Cricetulus griseus: one gene and its partners. The protein of the gene in region 1 interacts with the protein of each later gene in a pairwise test. Links are inferred from orthologs where the notes say so. Each region holds a gene or a part of one and is shown on either strand. Other genes may lie near its edges.

The links.
Region 2: the proteins of Ccdc136 (region 1) and Mos interact in binary tests that used the Homo sapiens proteins (3 or more experiments, as listed by UniProt). The two-hybrid records come from large-scale screens. The link is inferred for Cricetulus griseus from reciprocal best matches to the Homo sapiens genes CCDC136 and MOS.
Region 3: the proteins of Ccdc136 (region 1) and Shfl interact in binary tests that used the Homo sapiens proteins (3 or more experiments, as listed by UniProt). The two-hybrid records come from large-scale screens. The link is inferred for Cricetulus griseus from reciprocal best matches to the Homo sapiens genes CCDC136 and SHFL.
Region 4: the proteins of Ccdc136 (region 1) and Atp5po interact in binary tests that used the Homo sapiens proteins (3 or more experiments, as listed by UniProt). The two-hybrid records come from large-scale screens. The link is inferred for Cricetulus griseus from reciprocal best matches to the Homo sapiens genes CCDC136 and ATP5PO.

Annotation. Positions count from the first base shown.
Region 1 is NW_023276806.1:198,396,392-198,400,638, forward strand, and holds part of Ccdc136 (coiled-coil domain-containing protein 136), read right to left. Parts: intron 3,829-4,247; coding exon 3,547-3,828; intron 3,011-3,546; coding exon of another isoform or gene 2,993-3,010; exon of another isoform or gene 2,959-2,992; coding exon 2,817-2,958; intron 2,604-2,816; coding exon 2,440-2,603; intron 1-2,439. UniProt on the Homo sapiens protein: May play a role in acrosome formation in spermatogenesis and in fertilization.
Region 2 is NC_048595.1:156,238,543-156,241,993, reverse strand, and holds Mos (proto-oncogene serine/threonine-protein kinase mos), read right to left. Parts: upstream 1,773-3,451; coding exon 738-1,772; downstream 1-737.
Region 3 is NC_048597.1:133,743,695-133,748,541, forward strand, and holds the start of Shfl (shiftless antiviral inhibitor of ribosomal frameshifting protein), read left to right. Parts: upstream 1-1,810; coding exon 1,811-1,831; intron 1,832-2,217; coding exon 2,218-2,341; intron 2,342-2,478; coding exon 2,479-2,528; intron 2,529-3,935; coding exon 3,936-3,974; intron 3,975-4,099; coding exon 4,100-4,249; intron 4,250-4,847.
Region 4 is NC_048597.1:5,848,958-5,853,747, forward strand, and holds the start of Atp5po (ATP synthase subunit O, mitochondrial), read left to right. Parts: upstream 1-1,753; 5' UTR 1,754-1,768; coding exon 1,769-1,933; intron 1,934-4,790. UniProt on the Homo sapiens protein: Subunit OSCP, of the mitochondrial membrane ATP synthase complex (F(1)F(0) ATP synthase or Complex V) that produces ATP from ADP in the presence of a proton gradient across the membrane which is generated by electron transport complexes of the respiratory chain.

The DNA.
Region 1 (4,247 bases):
CATCCTCTCCAGAAGCCTGGCTTGAGAAGCCAAGTATAATGGAATCTGGTCCCCCAAAGGAATGAACACAAGCATACATAATTTCCTGGGACTCTGTTGTCATTTTTTTCTGGTAACCAGGAATATTAGAGCAGGAATATATAATTCAGCAGGGATTCAGTTCTACTTCCATCAAAGTGGAAGGACCAAATGAGGGTTCCTGAGAGGACCACAGGACCACAGCTCTTAGGACCTCCTCTCTCATCCTTAAGCACAGGGAGTAATTCCTTTTGGGTTGAAACAATGGCAAAAGCTTGGCTTTGGGGTTTAAACAAAGACAAAGCTCAGGCCCGCCTTGCAGGCAGACATCAGCTCATCAGAAGTAGCTTGGCAGCTTTGTTGGTAGCAAAAGAGATATGCCAAGGAAAGAAACTCAAACTATGCCTCTGGTAAGCGTTCCAACTACTTGTGCATTATGAATATCATGGCATGCTCAAGAAGGCTTGTAGGCTTTGCAGCAAAGTAAGAAAAGGCCAGCGCTAAAACTCAGCATCACCTATTGTATAATGGGAGGAGTAAGAGGCTGAGGGGGAAGAGAGGAAGCTATACCAGTACCTGGGTTAGGACGATGTCTCAGCCCACCAGCACCAGAGCAGAGCTGATATGACCACCAGGCCTACAAGAGGCAAGGAGAATATGGGGGGATCAGGGGCAGGGGATGACTGCAACGTGTCAAATGAGAAGCACAGGAGAGACCGGGAGACGCGTGGTTGCATGAAAAGACACGAACACACAAATCCAACAGATAATGAAGATGAGAAAACAAAGGGAAAAGAGAAAAGAATCAAAGGTTAAAAACCACATAAGCTGGAGCAATAGCATTTCTTCTCTGCTCCCAGAGCCTTAGGAAGAGCAGAGAGGTTCCTCATTCTGGCAGCCTGCAACAGTTGCAAAATGGAGTTAAGCAGCAGATAGGTCCAAATTAGGTATCTGGACCAGTGTTCTCTCTAGTCATGTGCAGCTCCTATCTTGTTAAGAAGTTACCTGCACCTAGATCTTTCTTGAGTCAGACACTCTGGGAAAGTGATGCTTCAGAGAAGACAGTGGGCTTCCTTACAGAAATCAGGTAGATACTTTTCCTGGATTCCTCCAGAAAGAGCCCATCTTCAGCCAGGCTGGCTACCTACCAGCTTTACTTCCTATCTGTTTTAGTGGTATGCAGAGCTCTGGTTCCTACGATCTCCTAGGAATCTAATGCGTTGTGAGTTGTGAGATGTAATACATCAGCCTAACAATGGAAGAGGTTAGTTTTTTGCCTGCAACAACTTACAAAGAGCAACTGAATTTGTATGCAATAACATGAATGCCAGCTGAACTGTCTGCAAAAGATTCAGGACCCACTGGGGCAAAAGGGCATCTAGACATCAACAATGTATTTGACTCTGAAGTACAAAAGCCAAGCTTAGACTTAGAAAAGTGGTCCCTGAGGTTAAGAAGTCCATGAGCTCTGAACCAGTCCGTAGTAGAATATGTTAAGTTCAAAAGAAACATTGGCCTGGTGAAGGGCTACAGTCACTTACTAAGTAACAAGTACATCCTAAGTAACAAGTCCTCCACCTCATGGTTAACAGGGAACTGCATACTGGATCATGAACCAGTAATGTAGACTGAAGTGCCGGAAAACTCCAGATGTCTGTAAAGTGAGTGGGATAGTCCATCACAAGAGACAGTTTTCTGCACAGTAAACTGGGGACTTAGCTAACTAGCCTCAGAGTAGGAGTTCAGCTGACACATACCTATGGAAATGTACCAGTTGTTGAAAGATGATAATACTTCCGTAAGCAGCTGCCTTACCTGCCATCTGCATATACCCCAAGACACCTCCCTCCCAGTCTCTCAAAGATCCAGGAACTAAAGGGTTAGAGCAGTGACCCGTGGCAGGCTGGCCAGTGTCCCTGCTGTGCAGACTGAAACTTTGAGTGTCACCGGGTTCACTGTTCATTCCCAAGGCCCAACACTCTCACATCCTATAATATGCAAAACCTACTGGGTGGTACAAGTCTGCAAGCCACAGCACTAATACATGTGAACTCTCACAGGGTATCATGGGAAAACAGGATGAAGTGACTTGCCGAGGCTAGCAGACATGAAGAAGGGAGGCCAGGGAGAGGGGTGAGGGGACACTGTTGATATAGGGAGGTTCTGAGCACTACAGTGTAAGCGAAAGTACACATGACCTCCACTTTGGCTCTGAGAAAAGGCAGTCATGGTGTAATGTCTCCACAGCAAATTAGTCTAGGCCTGCCATTTTGCTCAGAAAGACTGCCTTCACCAACCCCATCCCCATCCCCAGCACATATTCACTGGCCTCTACTCTTGTACAAGTGTAGGACCACTTCTGAAAATTAGGCACCTGAACCCTAGGCTCATTCCCACTCCATCCACCTTGGCTGTGGTTACCTTTCTGCTCTCAGAAATCGTAAGAGGATTGCCTTCCTCAGCCGTCTCAGAAGACTCAACCTCCTCATCTTCACTGGCTTCCTTATCCTGCCCTTGTCTGTACTCTTCGTAGACTCCATCCTCCTCTTCTGCAGGCTTAGGCTCAGGCTCAGGCTTAGGCTCAGGTTCAGGCTCAGGCTTAGGCTCAGGCTCAGGCTCAGGCTCAGGCTCAGGCTCAGGCTCAGGCTCAGGCTCAGGCTCAGGCTCAGGCTCAGGCTCAGGCTCAGGCTCAGGCTCAGGCTCAGGCTCAGGTTCAGGCTCAGGCTCAGGCTCAGGCTCAGGTTCAGGCTCAGGCTCAGGCTCAGGCTCAGGCTCAGGCTCAGGCTCTTTCCTAGGATCTGCTGGCTCAGTAGCTAGTTCACATGATTTTTTCTTGTCTTGTTTTTTATTCCCTTTTGCCTCTTCCATCTCTTTTTCCTCTTGCGCTATCTCATCTAATTTCCTCTGGCTGGCCTTGTAGTACAGTACCACCTCCAGACTCTGCAGGTGGAGGCAGGGCAGGGTGGGGCCGCTGTTACTGATAAAGAAAAGACTACAGACATAAAGCTCTACTTGTACCATGTCAGAGTTCCACTGTGCAGGACTGTAGTGTGGGACTGTATGCTAATCTTTCCAAGAATGACATGGAGGGCAGTCACATTTAGTTTGTTAAACCAGCGCTTCTTATGCGATCATTAAGCCATTTAAGGCAGTTCACGATAATTCAAGATTCTTGGGCTCTGCTCCTCAACTGTTGCTTCCTACCCTTCCTGGTAATTTTTATCACAACCAATCCTCTTGAATACATTCCTTTCTCTCTGTCTAGTTGGTCTTTCTCTTGATCATGTAACTAGGAACAAAGGAGTCCCAGAGATGAGCTTAGGCTAGTGAAAGCAGTTGTTGGGCATTCTCCCCGTAGCACCCAGAAAAGTGGCCAAACTCTTATAGAGACAGAACTCCTGCAGACATTACTAGTACCAAAAGCCTTCCTCAAAGTAGCTTTCCTGGCAGGAACTGTTAGAGGATATGATGTTTCCTCCCAGGGCCTCCTCCATCTACCTGCCTCTGGCTGCTGAGGCTGTAACTCACCTTCTCGTTCCCAAAGTCGCTCTCTGAGCTCTCTGAGCACGCCTTGCTTGTCTTCTTACTTCTCACTTCATTGACATTCTTGTTCACATTCTTATTGACATTCTTGCCCCTGGCTTCTGAGCTAATAGAGGGCCTGTTCTCCCTGAGCTGGCGGAGTTCTTCCTGGCAGCACTGTAGCTGACACTCCAGCTGCTCCTGCACGGCCAGAAGCCGCCCCTGCTCATCCATGCTAGCCTGGTACTGAAGCTGCAGCTCCCGCAGCTTAGTCTGCAGTTCTTTGATCTGTGGGTGGTGGGATTCCAGTTATCCATGGCAGTCCCACCCAGTCAGCCCAGGCCCTCAAGGGAGCACTGCCTTGCAACTCTCCCTGCTAACGCTTCCAAGTAGACCATGAGACCTAATGCAGATAGCTTTCCTCCTAAGTTGAGGTTAAATGAAGGTCTGCATGGTAAAAAAACTAGTATTAAATCAATAGATATTATGTTTTTGATCATGACCTGTCTGGGGAATAACTACAGGACTACCACCATGTCTGAACCTCAGGCATTTATTATTATCTAATTCTTTTTTCCAGGAACTCCTACTTTACCCAGTCCATTCCTCTAACAGATAGTAACTTAGGGAATTGGTGCATGTACTTGGTTGGGCACCTGCACCTCCCTCCTGGTAACACACAGTTATAACCTTGCCCCTAGTCTCAG
Region 2 (3,451 bases), on another chromosome or scaffold:
TTAACATATCAAAGCAGACACACCTGCATCCCCTACCCCATCCCTTAGTCCCTCTCAACCTGTTCCAGGGTGTGCCTGGCTGGTACACCCCATCCCTACTTTAAATTCTCCAGCTCAGGGGCTGGGCTGTCCTTCCCCTAGATGCTCCTCCCTATATAATCTAGTCATTTTGATTATCTCTCCTTTTGGGGGGTCTTCTGATTGTTGCACCTGGTTCCCGTCTCTTCCCCCCTCCCCCCATGGCTCAGGATCATATTCACTATGGACTTTTCCAGATGTCCCTGCCTCTGACTATGTCTCCCTTTTATCTACAATAAACTTTCTCTTTCACCACACCTATTAGTAGTCATGTCATTTCCTTCTTTCCTTCTTTCCTTCTTTCTTTCCTCCCTTCCTCCCTCCCTCCCTCCCTCCTTTCCTTACTCTCCCCTCCCTTTCTCTTCTGTTTTCCACTCAGTAACAAATCCAACTAACAGCAATATTGTGGAGATGATACAGTCGGTCAGGAGCCCAGAAAGGGGACAGAGAACTATAAAGGGGGTCAGGTTTGTTACCAGCAGTGATGCTCATGAAATCTGTAGCCTCCTTATTCTCAGGAAAAAAAAAAAAAAAACCCTTCAGATTGAAGTTTTCAGTAACTTTATTTTCTAAAATTATGTCCTAGGGGTATGTTTTCTTCCACACCACCCTTACTTCTTTAAAAATAATCAGAAACAAAAAGCACAGGCTGGATGGAGTCAGCCCAATGCTGCTCGCAAAGCGTTCAGGTCCCTCAAGAGCAGTTCTGCACCCGGCCTCTGCAGGGCGCGGGCCTCCCAGCAGCTCCGGAGGATGCTCTGCAACTTCCGCCCCGTCGGTGAGGAGGTGAACACTGCCCCCGCCAGGGACGGTCGCAGATTGTAGGCCACCACAGCGTACTGCACCTGCTGAGGCTCGCCTGAGTATGGCACCTCCCTGGTGGTCATCTGCCAGAGGGTGATGCCGAAAGAGTAGATGTCGGCTTTGCGCGTGGCGGTCTCTCCTTTCAGGAGCTCCGGAGCTTGGTGCGTGTAGGTGCCACCTATGTGGTGAGGGGGCGTCTGGCTGCACCACAGATCTTGCAGCTTTTGGGAGCAGCCGAAATCACTGATCTTACAGACGTCCTGCTCATTGATCAAAATGTTCGCTGGCTTCAGGTCCAAGTGCAAAATGCTTTGTGAGTGGAGGAAAAGCAGGCCATTAACAATATCTAGGGAATACTTAAGGCACTTCCCCAAACTCAGTTGTTCTCGGCTGCAGCTTAGAGGCCCTGGAGAGCGGGTGGCACCATAGATGACTTGGTGTAGAGTCACATTGCCCCCAAACTCCATGATTATGGTACCCAGGCTGTTAGAGCCCTTGGGCGTATGCGTGCTGGCAGCCACAACCCGGACTATGTTGTCATGGCGCAGTCTTGCAATGTTGAGTTCAGCCCAGAAACTCCGCTGGGATGCACGTAGGTTCTTGGTGCACTTGTTCACTTGCTTTATGGCCACAGGAACACCGTGGTAAGTGGCTTTGTACACCGAACCAAACCCTCCAGAACCCAGCCTATGCAGCAGGCATACCTGTTCCCAGTCGATGGAACACCAGGCCAGCCGGCGTGGCAGCCGCGGGGCCCGAGGAGGAGTGGCTCCCAGGAAGAGCTTCCCGGCCTTCCCCGGAGCCACCAAGGGGCTACTGCAGGGTCGCAAGTCCAACGACGGTGACAACTCACCAGGGAGGTAGCGACATAGGGCTAGAGGCGATGGCATCACACCTTCAGGTAGGAAAGGCACCAGGGGCACTAGGTAGAAATGACTAGGAACAACCCTGGGGAGTCTGGAAGCATGGTTGAAGATTCCTGATTTCACCCTAGCCCCTTTCCCTCCTTCCTTGTATTCTCAAAACGAGCTACATCTGTGCTATCACTCAGCAAGATGGGGGTGGGGTGCAGACGAAGCATGGCTAAAGTAAATCCTTAGTAAAACGACCTCTCACGGGTTAAATAGCACTGGCCTGCCTCAGGGCTCACCTCTCCTTTAAACTATTTCTTTAATCATAATACAACGAAAACGATTTTCAAGTAGCATCTGATGAGCATTAATCGGTCTTTAGACTGAAGAAGGAAAAAAAGCACAGTGAACTTGTGCACTTTTCAGGCTATAATGATTGTTAGTGCTAGTCCTCCTCAGCTGCGTTAAATCACTCCAAGCAGCTATTGGATGCAAGAGTTGCAATACAAATAGCAGGCATTTGTCGAACCACTTGCCAAGATTATTAGGTGCAACCTTCATAAGAATTAAAAATTGTAACTTTAATGTCATTAATCAAAATAGAATCAGTGATACAAAACATGCACACCTCCTAAGTTCATCAGAAGGGGGATTCTGATGGATTTGATTTCTACAGCAAGAAGACTTCTTAGCAACACCCCGACTTCCTACCAGTCCTTCCTTTCCAGGCAAGTCAGGTCACCCAGATTCTAGACCACAGCCAACAAGTTACTGGAACTTAACACAGACTTGGAGGGAGAGAAAAAGGAACAAAGTGAGTGTGATGGCCATAGCTGTAAATAAGCACAGGAAAACCAGGAGGAACAGACATGGCACAGAATCACTGGAATCCTTCTATAGTACAGAAAAGCAGGCACTAAACATAAATTCAGGGCCTGGCCACCAAACCAGACTCATCATTTCCAATTTTCATAATACAGTGCTCATTTTCATGCCATATCTTTGGGGGAAAAGAAGAGAGCAACAATCTTACTCTGTCATTTAAACAGTCCCTGAAAGTGCTCAGGAGCTACACTTTTCAGCACTTGGTAAAGCTTTTTTTTTTTTTTTTTCTTTTTTGCTTACATGTGATAAGTGACCACTTTTTATGTGACAGCTATGTGCTTCTGATTTTAGAACTACAGGTTTTGAGAAGGCAAGTTAATAAAGAGAGCCGTTTCTATCAACAACTCAAAATTCATATAACTTCAAATTTCTACTTGATGTTAATAATATGGTTCAGTCTGTCACCTTGGGCATAATCTTTTTTATTTATTTATATTGGAAACAAGCTTCTTTTACATGTCAATCTAAGTTCTCTCTCCCTCCCTTCCTCCCCTGCCCCTGACCGACCCCTTTATACCAATCCCTTTCTGCTCCCCAGGGAAGGTGAGGCCTTCCATGGGGGATCTTCAAAGTCTGTCATATCATTTGGAGCAGGGCCTAGACCCTCCCCAGTGTGTCTAGGCTGAGAAAGAATCCCTCTATGTGGAGAGGGCTCCTTGGGCATAATATTTAATTGTTTGAACCTCAATGCTTTATTAAGAAATTAGGATAATAATTATTAAAAAAATTTTTTGGGGGGAGAATGAAAGTTGGGTATTTCTGAACAGATTAACGGGACAAACTATTAAAAAATGTAAACTATAGAGCATTTTAGTATAATCCCCATTCTGTGC
Region 3 (4,847 bases), on another chromosome or scaffold:
GGCTGGCCCTAGGCTGGCCCCAAATTCTGAGATCTGTCCTTGGTTACTCCTCACCTCGTAACCCTCATAATTAGAATGTCATACTTGCTAATTTTTTTCTTTTTCTTTTTTTTTTCAAGACAGTGTTTCTCTGTGTAGCCTTGGCTGTGCTGGAACTATCTCTGTAGAACAGGCTGGCCTCAAAATCACAGAGATCCACCTGCCTCTGCCTCCCAAGTGCTGGGATTAAAGCCATACACCACCACCACTGCTCTCATCAGGGATTCCTGATTAACGTGCTGGTTTCCTTTCCAACAGGAATATTCCTAGTAGTCGATTGACAGCTCTTATGTTCATTCTATTTCCTGAGGAAATTCTAGCCCATTTCCCCATAATAGCTGTAATATTTCAATATAATTTATTGATGCCGATCCATGTGGAGGTGTTCCTTCCAGGCCCGGGGGGAAACCAGGGTCTCACACACACTGCCCACATGGTTATTAGCCTTTAAATTTGCAATGTGTATTCCCATGAGCCAGAAGTACAAGGTGTTAGGGACCAAGAGTGTGTTTTCTTCACATCCTTACTCTGCCTCCAACCTGCATGAAACTCCAAAGGTCACCCGATGATTGGTGCATTATCTATGTCCCACATTGTGCTGAGTGCCATTAAGTCCCCCTGGAAGACCAAACATGGAGGCTCACATCTGTAATCTCAGTACTGGGGAGACTGAGGCTGAAGGGCCACCAAACCACATTCAAGGCCAGCCTGGGCTATGCTGTGAGACCCTAGGTACACATCTGTGACCCCAGAATTCAGAATGTAGAGGCAGGGGGAGACAGTGACATACAAAGTCCAGGGGAGCCTGGATTAAGGGAGCCGCCTTGAAACTACAGGGCCCTGGAAAGAGGAGGGGGGGTGGGAAGATAGTTTCCACTTCCCTCTGGTGTTGGTTTCCGGTTCACCATTATACCACCATTATCTGCACTTGTGCTATCCACCCTGATTAGTGAAGGAAACCAAGCTTTGAGTGCTCCTGGGTCAAAGTGAGAAACCCAACCCCTGTACCAAAAAGGGCAAGAAAGAGGGTCGCAGCAAGGAAAACCCAGGCAGGCAGGCCTCTTAAATCTAGGGCCCATTCACCGCTCAAGAAGTTCATGAAAGTTGCCCCAAAAAAAGTTCTCTCATTTTGTCCTGGGATATTTTCCTCTTTTCTTTTTTTTTTTTTTCCTTTCTTTTTGAAACAGGGTCCATGTAGCCCAGGACAGCCTTGAACTCTTGCTTCTCCTGCCCCCACTTTCCAAATGCTGAGGTGACCAGTGTGTGTCGCCAAGCCTGGCTTGCGTGCCCATTTTACAGAGGAGGAAACTGAGACTGGCTGGAGGGAGCTAGGGGGAAAAGATGCTGCGGGTAGGAGCCTCTGAGTAGAGCAAAGCTCGCCCGCGGTCTAGGAGGAGCAGCGTGGGAGCACCGAGACCCGCGTCCGCGCGCGGTGCGGCCCCGCCCCCACGGGGGACGTGAAGACGCGGACCCCGCGCAGCGTGGGGACATGTGACCGACTGCAGAGGCCGCGCGCTGCATCCCCGGCCCGGCCGCGCTGCTGCGCAGGACGCGGGGAGGCGCGCGCTGAGGCCGGGAGCACCGCCCCGGGAGCACCGCGGGGCGCGCGAGCAGACACGCAGCCGCACGGCCGGGGCGGGGTCCCCGCGGGGTCCCCAGCTTCGCGCAGAAACGAAACCGAAAGAGGGGACCGAGGGAGGCGGAGCCGCGCCGACGCCACCCAGCCCTGCGGGGCCCGGACCCGGGCGCGGCCAGGTGCGCACCGGCCACCATGGCTCAGGACGGCGTGGAGGTAGGACAGTCGCGCCACCCGAGACAGGCCGCGCGGGGAGGGCTCCGGGGACACCCCGACCCCCTGGGCCGCCTCCCCCTCCGTCCCGGCCGTAGCGGGGCTGCAGGGTCAGAGGTTAGAAGGAAAGGGGGTGACCTGGCCTGCATCCCGGCTCACACGCACGCACGCCAGACCGCAAATTCGCACCCGGCAGGCTGGCACCCGCCGCAGTCTGCACCATCCCCCAATGCCTGGAGAACTTTGGATTTTTCCAGGAAATGGCTTAAAGGGAGGGGGAGGGGAGAGGGTGCGGAGGCCAGAAGCCGGGGTCAAGTTCAGGAGAATGAGGGGCGGGCGCCGCTCCCCAGTCGTCCCCCACACCAGCGCTCACCTCCCCTCCATCCCAGTTGGAGAAGAGCGTCAGGCGCCTCCGGGAGAAGTTTCATGGAAAAGTGTCCCCCAAGAAGGCAGGGGCTCTTATGAGGAAGTTTGGCAGCGACCACACCGGAGTAGGGCGCTCTATCGTGTATGGTGAGTCCGCCCAGGGGGTACTGCGTGGGTGTGGTTGTCGCTCGCTGTAGCGACCCTGGCTCCCCTTGACAGGAGGCTCTCCACCACCTGGAACTCCTACTCACCCTTCAAGAGCCCTTCCCATATTTCCCCACTAGGTGTCAAGCAGAAAGATGGACAGGAGCTGAGCAACGATTTGGACGCTCAGGTAACCTGAACTCCCTCTCTCCTCAAAGAGAGATACTGTGAGAGCCCATCTTGCTATCTAAGTTCCTTCCTTGTCCGAAGCAGCCTGCAAACAGTAGGCGCTCATTATGTGCTGATTGCCTCAGATGGAGGAGGAGACAGGACAGTCGGATAAGGAGGTCCTGGCTGTTGAGGAAGGCTCAAGGAAACTAATTCTACCTTTCACTAGAAGAAAGGCTGGGCTGGCCTGGGGGGGAAAGAGGTCCCAATGGAGGAGAAGGGATAAATTCATAGAATCACTTCTGTGGCTGTACCCTGTGTGCTGAACTTGCTTGAAAGGCTTGCCAAAGTTTTGTTTTGTTTTGTTTTTTTGAGACAGGGTCTCACTATGTAGCCCTGGACTGTCCTGAAACTCACTTTACAGGCCAAGCTGGCTTTGAACTCACAGAGATCCACCTGCCTCTGCCTCCCAAGCACTGGGAATCAAAGGCGTGCACCACCATGCTGGGCACCTAAAAGAATCTGACAAATCATATTCCTTTGGTTTAGGTCTATAAGGAATATGACAAATTAATAATAGAAGGAAGTTGCCTTCATGGAGAGAGCCTGAGGGGCAAACCTCCAGGCCTTGGTTCATTTCATATCCCTTTCTTCTGCTTCCGGGAGGCAATCCTATTACACAAGAAAGCTCAGGCTCATGACATTTCACCAAGTTCTGGGGACCAGCATTTGACTTCAGGGATTCAAATTCTAGCCATTTGCAATGAAGCTCGGGCTCTGAGAGGCCCTTCTGTGAGAACCCTCAAAGAGAGGGACTTGCCCACCATCCCCATCTGGGAGCAATAGAGCAGCCAACCGGTTGCAAGCCCCCAAACTGGAGCCTTTTAAAGCCATGTGGCCAAGGAGCTGAGAGATACCTCAGCTGTTGAGAGCACTTGCTGCTCTCACAGGGGACCCTAATTCCATTCTCAGCACCTACATGGGACAGTTCACAACCACTCCAGTTCCAGGGGTATCTGACACCCTCTTCTGGCCTCTATGGGCACTACACATATGTACATGTACACAGACATACACATTTTTAAACTTTTTAATCTTTAAAAGCTATGTGGCTTCAGTGGCCAGGTGTCACATGTGTGGCCTCTGCAGATTGAAAGGTCATCCAGGGCTCTGGGTTCCATGGGCCACGATCACTGAGTGGGTTCAGATTCTGGGAAATGAGACTAGCCAAGTATTTGCTTCTTAAGGATCTTTGGGACTTCATTCATTGTAGGCACTGGCTCTATCTGTCAACACAGGCAATAATGTTTCATCTCTGTCTGAAGTCCAGGAGCCCCATGCAGGGGCTTCTCCCCCATTCAACATGGGTATAGGACTCCTAGATAGAGCCTTTCCAGTCTCTGTACTCCTTTTCCGTGTCTCCCCTCAGGACCCACCCGAGGACATGAAGCAAGACCGAGATATCCAGGTGTGTTTTTTGGCTGGGATGAGGCAGGATGGATAACTGTCCAAGGTATATAGCAGTAAGGATGGTCGCTGTGGGCTCCACAGGCAGAGGTGACCCTGTTTTGTCCCCATTCATCCATGTTTCAGGCAGTGGCCACCTCTCTGTTGCCCCTGACAAAAGCCAATCTTCGAATGTTCCAAAGAGCCCAAGACGACCTCATCCCTGCCGTGGACCGACAGTTTGCCTGCTCCTCCTGTGACCACGTGTGGTGGCGCCGTGTGCCCCAGAGGAAGGAGGTGGTACCCCAGACTTACTGGATTCCCTCCTGTACTCCACTCCTGTTGTCTGTGTCCAGAAATTATTTTTATGACTGAAGGTCATCAGCTGCATGTGTGTGTTCATTCATGCATTCATTTGTGTGTGTGTGTGTGTGTGTGTGTGTATGTGTGTGTGTGTGTGTGTGTGTGTTCACGCGCCAGCTTGTGCCTGCCTGTATGCATGCAAGCATGAGTGTGCATGTGGAGGCCAGAGTTTGGTGGTGGTATCTTTCTTTCTCAGTTGCCCTCCATCTTTTTTTTTTTAGAGAGAGAGATTTATTTATTATGTATACAACATTCTGCTTCCATGTATATCTGCACACCAGAAGAGGGCACCATGTGGTTGCTGGGAATTGAACTCGGGACTTCTAGAAGAGCAGTCAGTGTTCTTAACCTCTGAGCCATCTCTCCAGCTCCATCTTATTTTTTTTAAACAGGGTCTCTCACCGGTTCAGTTAAGAGGTTGGCTAGCATGGCCCATGAAACCTCCAGTTTCAGCCTGCCCAGCACTAGGGGGTTGTGTGCATTTAGCCATGCCTGGCTCTTAGATGGGTGTTATGGATTTGAACTCAGTCCC
Region 4 (4,790 bases), on another chromosome or scaffold:
AATGGCAAAGTAAGTATAAACCATGTGAATTATGTTGAAAAGTCATATGTGAAAACTATTAAGTTACAGAATCAAAATGGATTACCCTGCAGCTATGGACACATCCATAGAAACCGTCATCATTTAGAAATTTGTTTATACAACGTGTATTAGTGAAGCTGGAGAGATGGCTCAGTGGTTAAGTGCCCTGACTGCTCCTGCAGAAGACCTGTGTTCAGTCCCCAGCACCCACAGGGCAGCTCACAGCTGCCTCTAACTCCAACATCCTTTCCTGGTCTCTCAGACAATATGCACACACATACATAACACACAAACATAGATGCAGGCAAATACTGACACATAAAATAATTCTTTGCCGGCGTTGGTGGCACACGCCTTTAATCCCAGCACTCGGGAGGCAGAGGCAGGCAGATCTCTGTGAGTTCAAGGCCAGCCTGGTCTCCAGAGTGAGTGCCAGGACAGGCTCCAAAGCTGCACAGAGAAACCCTGTCTCAAAAAGCCAAGATAAATAAATAAATAAATAAATAAACTAATTCTTTAAAGACTGTATTCACAGCCCATATATAATTCCATATCCATTTTCCCCTCATATTAAGGCGAAAGAGAAGACACTAAAGTATATAGATAGATAGCTAGATAGATAGATAGACAGACAGATAGATAGATTGTGAATCTCTGTATAAAAAGCACAAACACAAAATGAAGAATTCTGTCAACTATGTACTCATATGTGCTAACATAAATAAATATGTTAAATTTCCTAACATAGTGTAAGGCAGGTACTACACTACTATAATAACAATTTTATAGCTAAGAAAATTGAGGCACAGAAAACTTGTGTGATTATACCAAGGTTACAAAGCTATTAAGATTCAAACCTGGGCACTCTGCCGCCTAAAAAATTTTTTTTCGGTAAACACTTCACCATGATGTTGCCTCTGGGTGGTAGAAAATATCTCTCCATTAAAAAAAGTAATAAAGAAAATGTTATACCCTAAAAGGACAAATCAACTAAATGTATTCCTCTACTAAATCTGAGCAGAAAGCTTTTTTTTTTTTTTTTTTTTTTTTTTTCATGTATAGTGTTCTGTCTGTATGTCTGCTTGCACACCAGCAGAGGGCACCAGATCTCATAACGGATGGTTGTGAGCCACCATGTGGTTGCTAGGAATTGAACTCAGGACCTCTGGAAGAGCAGCCAGTGCTCTTAACCTCCGACAGCTTTTTTCTTTTCTTTTCTCTTTTCTTTTTTTAAGTTTATTCACGCGTTAGAACCAGGAACCCCTGTAGCCGGATCTTTGCTGTGAAGGAGGAAACTGAGAGCCGGCCGGCTGTGCGGACGCAAGGCTCGAGCCAGCTGGCTTTTGACTTTCTGCGTCATCTTTGATTAGAAGCTGGTTCTGGTTCTGATCTCTACCCTGATTGCACACACCGTCCAAGTGTGACAAGCCGCGGAAGGAGCGGGAGAGAACCGGCCCGGGAAGCCTGTCCCAGGAGTGCCCCGCTGCGGGGGTTCGCTCGTGCTTTTGGCTTTCATTTGTTTAAGCGAAGCACGAAGCCTGGCCAGTGAAGCAGGCTACGACACACGGACACACTACACACTACACACTACACACTACGAGGCAACGACACCGGTGATGAGTGTGCAAAGCATCTAAGTGGAAACCCTAAACTAAAGACCGCACATCCACTCCACACGAAGACCCGCTCCGCCAGTAATTGAAGATTTAGTTGGGACGCCCGGCTCCTATGGACTACAACTCCCAGCATGCAAGAGGTTTCCACCCATGCGCCCTGGCACCCGGGGAGCCCATTTCCCAGAGAGCTGAGCGGCCACGCCGGCGCGCGCGTGCGCTCTGGCACCTGTGGGCGCCGCTTGGGAGTGACCTACCTCCGCCGGGGAAAGATGGCCGCGTGCGGGCTGTCCCGACAGGTACAAGGAGCCGGCGGGGGCCCCTGCCCGGGAGCCGGCCCCGGGCCCCGGCGCCGCGTGCGAGGCCGCGGCTGAAGGGTCAGACCGCCCGCCCACCAAGGGCCGTGGAGGTCGGGGAGCGGGCTTGCGCCGTCCTGACCTTGACTTCGGCCGGGGGTCACTGCCAAGGGGCAGCGGGGAAGGCCGCGCGGGCCGCGCCTGTGTGTGAGCCTGTGTGGGGGCTCGCCCGTGTGTGTGTCAGCCTGTGTGTGTGTCAGCCTGTGTGTGAGCCTGAGTGTGTGTCAGCCTGTGTGTGTGTCAGCCTGTGTGTGTGTCAGCCTGTGTGTGTGTGAGCCCGTGTGTGTGTCAGCCTGTGTGTGTGTCAGCCTGTGTGGGGGCTAACCCGTGTGTGAGCCCGTGTGTGTGTCAGCCTGTGTGTGTGTGAGCCCGTGTGTGTGTCAGCCTGTGTGTGTGTGAGCCCGTGTGTGTGTCAGCCTGTGTGTGTGAGCCTGAGTGTGTGTCAGCCTGTGTGTGAGCCTGTGGTGTGTCTAGCCCCTGTCAGCCTGTGTGTGTCAGCCCGCGTGTGTCAGCCTGTGTGTGTTCAGCCTGTGTGGGGCTCGCCCGTGTGTGTGTCAGCCTGTGTGTGTGTGAGCCTGTGTGTCAGCCTGAGTGTGTGTCAGCCTGTGTGTCAGCCTGTGTGTGTGTCAGCCTGTGTGGGGGCTAGCCCGTGTGTGTGTCAACCTGTGTGTGTGTCAGCCTGTGTGGGGGCTCGCCCGCGTGTGTGTCAGCCTGTGTGTGTGTCAGCCTGTGTGTGTGTCAGCCTGAGTGTGTGTGTCAGCCTGTGTGTGTGTCAACCTGTGTGGGGGCTAACCCGTGTGTGAGCCCGTGTGTGTGTCAGCCTGTGTGTGTGTGAGCCCGTGTGTGTGTCAGCCTGTGTGTGTGAGCCTGTGTGTGTGTGAGCCCGTGTGTGTGTCAGCCTGTGTGTGTGTGAGCCCGTGTGTGTGTCAGCCTGTGTGTGAGCCTGTGTGTGTCAGCCTGTGTGTGTGTCAGCCTGTGTGTGTGTCAGCCTGTGTGGGGGCTAGCCCGCATGTGTGTCAGCCCGTGTGTGTGTCAGCCTGTGTGGGGGCTAGCTCGTGTGTGTGTCAGCCTGTGTGTGTGTGAGCCCGCGTGTGTGTCAGCCTGTGTGTCAGCCTGTGTGCTAGGTGTGTGTGTCAGCCTGTGTGTGAGCCCGTGTGTGAGCCTGAGTGTGTGTCAGCCTGTGTGTGAGCCCGTGTGTCAGCCTGTGTGTGTGTGTCAGCCGTGTGTGTGTCAGCCTGTGTGTGTGTCAGCCTGTGTGTCACCTGTGTGGGGGCTAACCCGTGTGTGAGCCCGTGTGTGTGTCAGCCTGTGTGTGTGAGCCCGTGTGTGTGTCAGCCTGTGTGTGTGTGAGCCCGTGTGTGTGTCAGCCCGTGTGTGTGTGAGCCCGCGTGTGTGTGTGAGCCCGCGTGTGTGTCAGCCTGTGTGTGTGTGAGCCTGTGTGTGTCAGCCTGTGTGTGTGTCAGCCTGTGTGTGTGTCAGCCTGTGTGGGGGCTAGCCCGCATGTGTGTCAGCCCGTGTGTGTGTCAGCCTGTGTGGGGGCTAGCTCGTGTGTGTGTCAGCCTGTGTGTGTGTGAGCCCGCGTGTGTGTCAGCCTGTGTGTCAGCCTGTGTGGGGGCTAGCTCGTGTGTGTGTCAGCCTGTGTGGGGGCTAACCCGCGTGTGTGTCAGCCTGTGTGTGTGTGAGCCTGTCTGGGGGCTCGCCCGTGTGTGTGTCAGCCTGTGTGTGTGTGAGCCTGTGTGGGGGCTAGCCCGCGTGTGTGTCAGCCTGTGTGTGAGCCTGTGTGTGTGTCATCCTGTGTGTGTGTCAGCCTGTGTGTGAGCCCGTGTGTGTGTCAGCCTGTGTGTGTGTCAGCCCGTGTGTGTGTGAGCCTGTGTGGGGGCTAGCCCGCGTGTGTGTCAGCCTGTGTGTGAGCCTGTGTGTGTGTCAGCCTGTGTGTGTCAGCCTGTGTGTGAGCCCGTGTGTGTGTCAGCCTGTGTGTGTGTCAGCCGTGTGTGTGTGAGCCTGTGTGGGGGCTAGCCCGCGTGTGTGTCAGCCTGTGTGTGTGTCAGCCTGTGTGTGTGTCAGCCTGTGTGTGAGCCCGTGTGTGTGTCAGCCTGTGTGTGTGTCAGCCGTGTGTGTGTGAGCCTGTGTGTGGCTAGCCCGTGTGTGTGTCAGCCTGTGTGTGTGTGAGCCTGTGTGGGGGCTAGCCCGTGTGTGAGCCCGTGTGTGTGTCAGCCTGTGTGTGTGTCAGCCTGTGTGTCAGCCTGTGTGGGGGCTAGCCCGTGTGTGTGTCAGCCTGTGTGTGAGCCCGTGTGTGAGCCCGTGTGTGAGCCTGTGTGTGTGTGTGTCAGCCTGTGTGTGAGCCTGTGTGTGAGCCTATGTGTGTCAGCCTGTATGTGAGCCTGTGTGTGTGTGTCATCCTGTGTGTCAGCCCGTGTGTGTGTCAGCCTGTGTGTGTGTCAGCCTGTGTGTGAGCCTGTGTGGGGACTAGCCCGTGTGGGGGCTAGCCCGTGTGTGTGTCATCCTGTGTGTGTGTCATCCTGTGTGTGTGTCAGCCTGTGTGTGTGTCAGCCTGTGTGTGTGTCATCCTGTGTGTCAGCCCGTGTGTGTGTCAGCCTGTGTGTGTGTCAGCCTGTGTGTGAGCCTGTGTGGGGCTAGCCCGTGTGGGGGCTAGTCCCTGTGTGTGTGTCAGCCGTGTGTGTGTGTGTGAGCCCGTGTGTGAGCCCGTGTGTGAGCCTGTGTGTGTGTGTGTCAGCCTGTGTGTGAGCCTGTGTGTGTGTCAGCCTGTGTGTGTGTCAGTCTGTGTGTGTGTGAGCCTGTG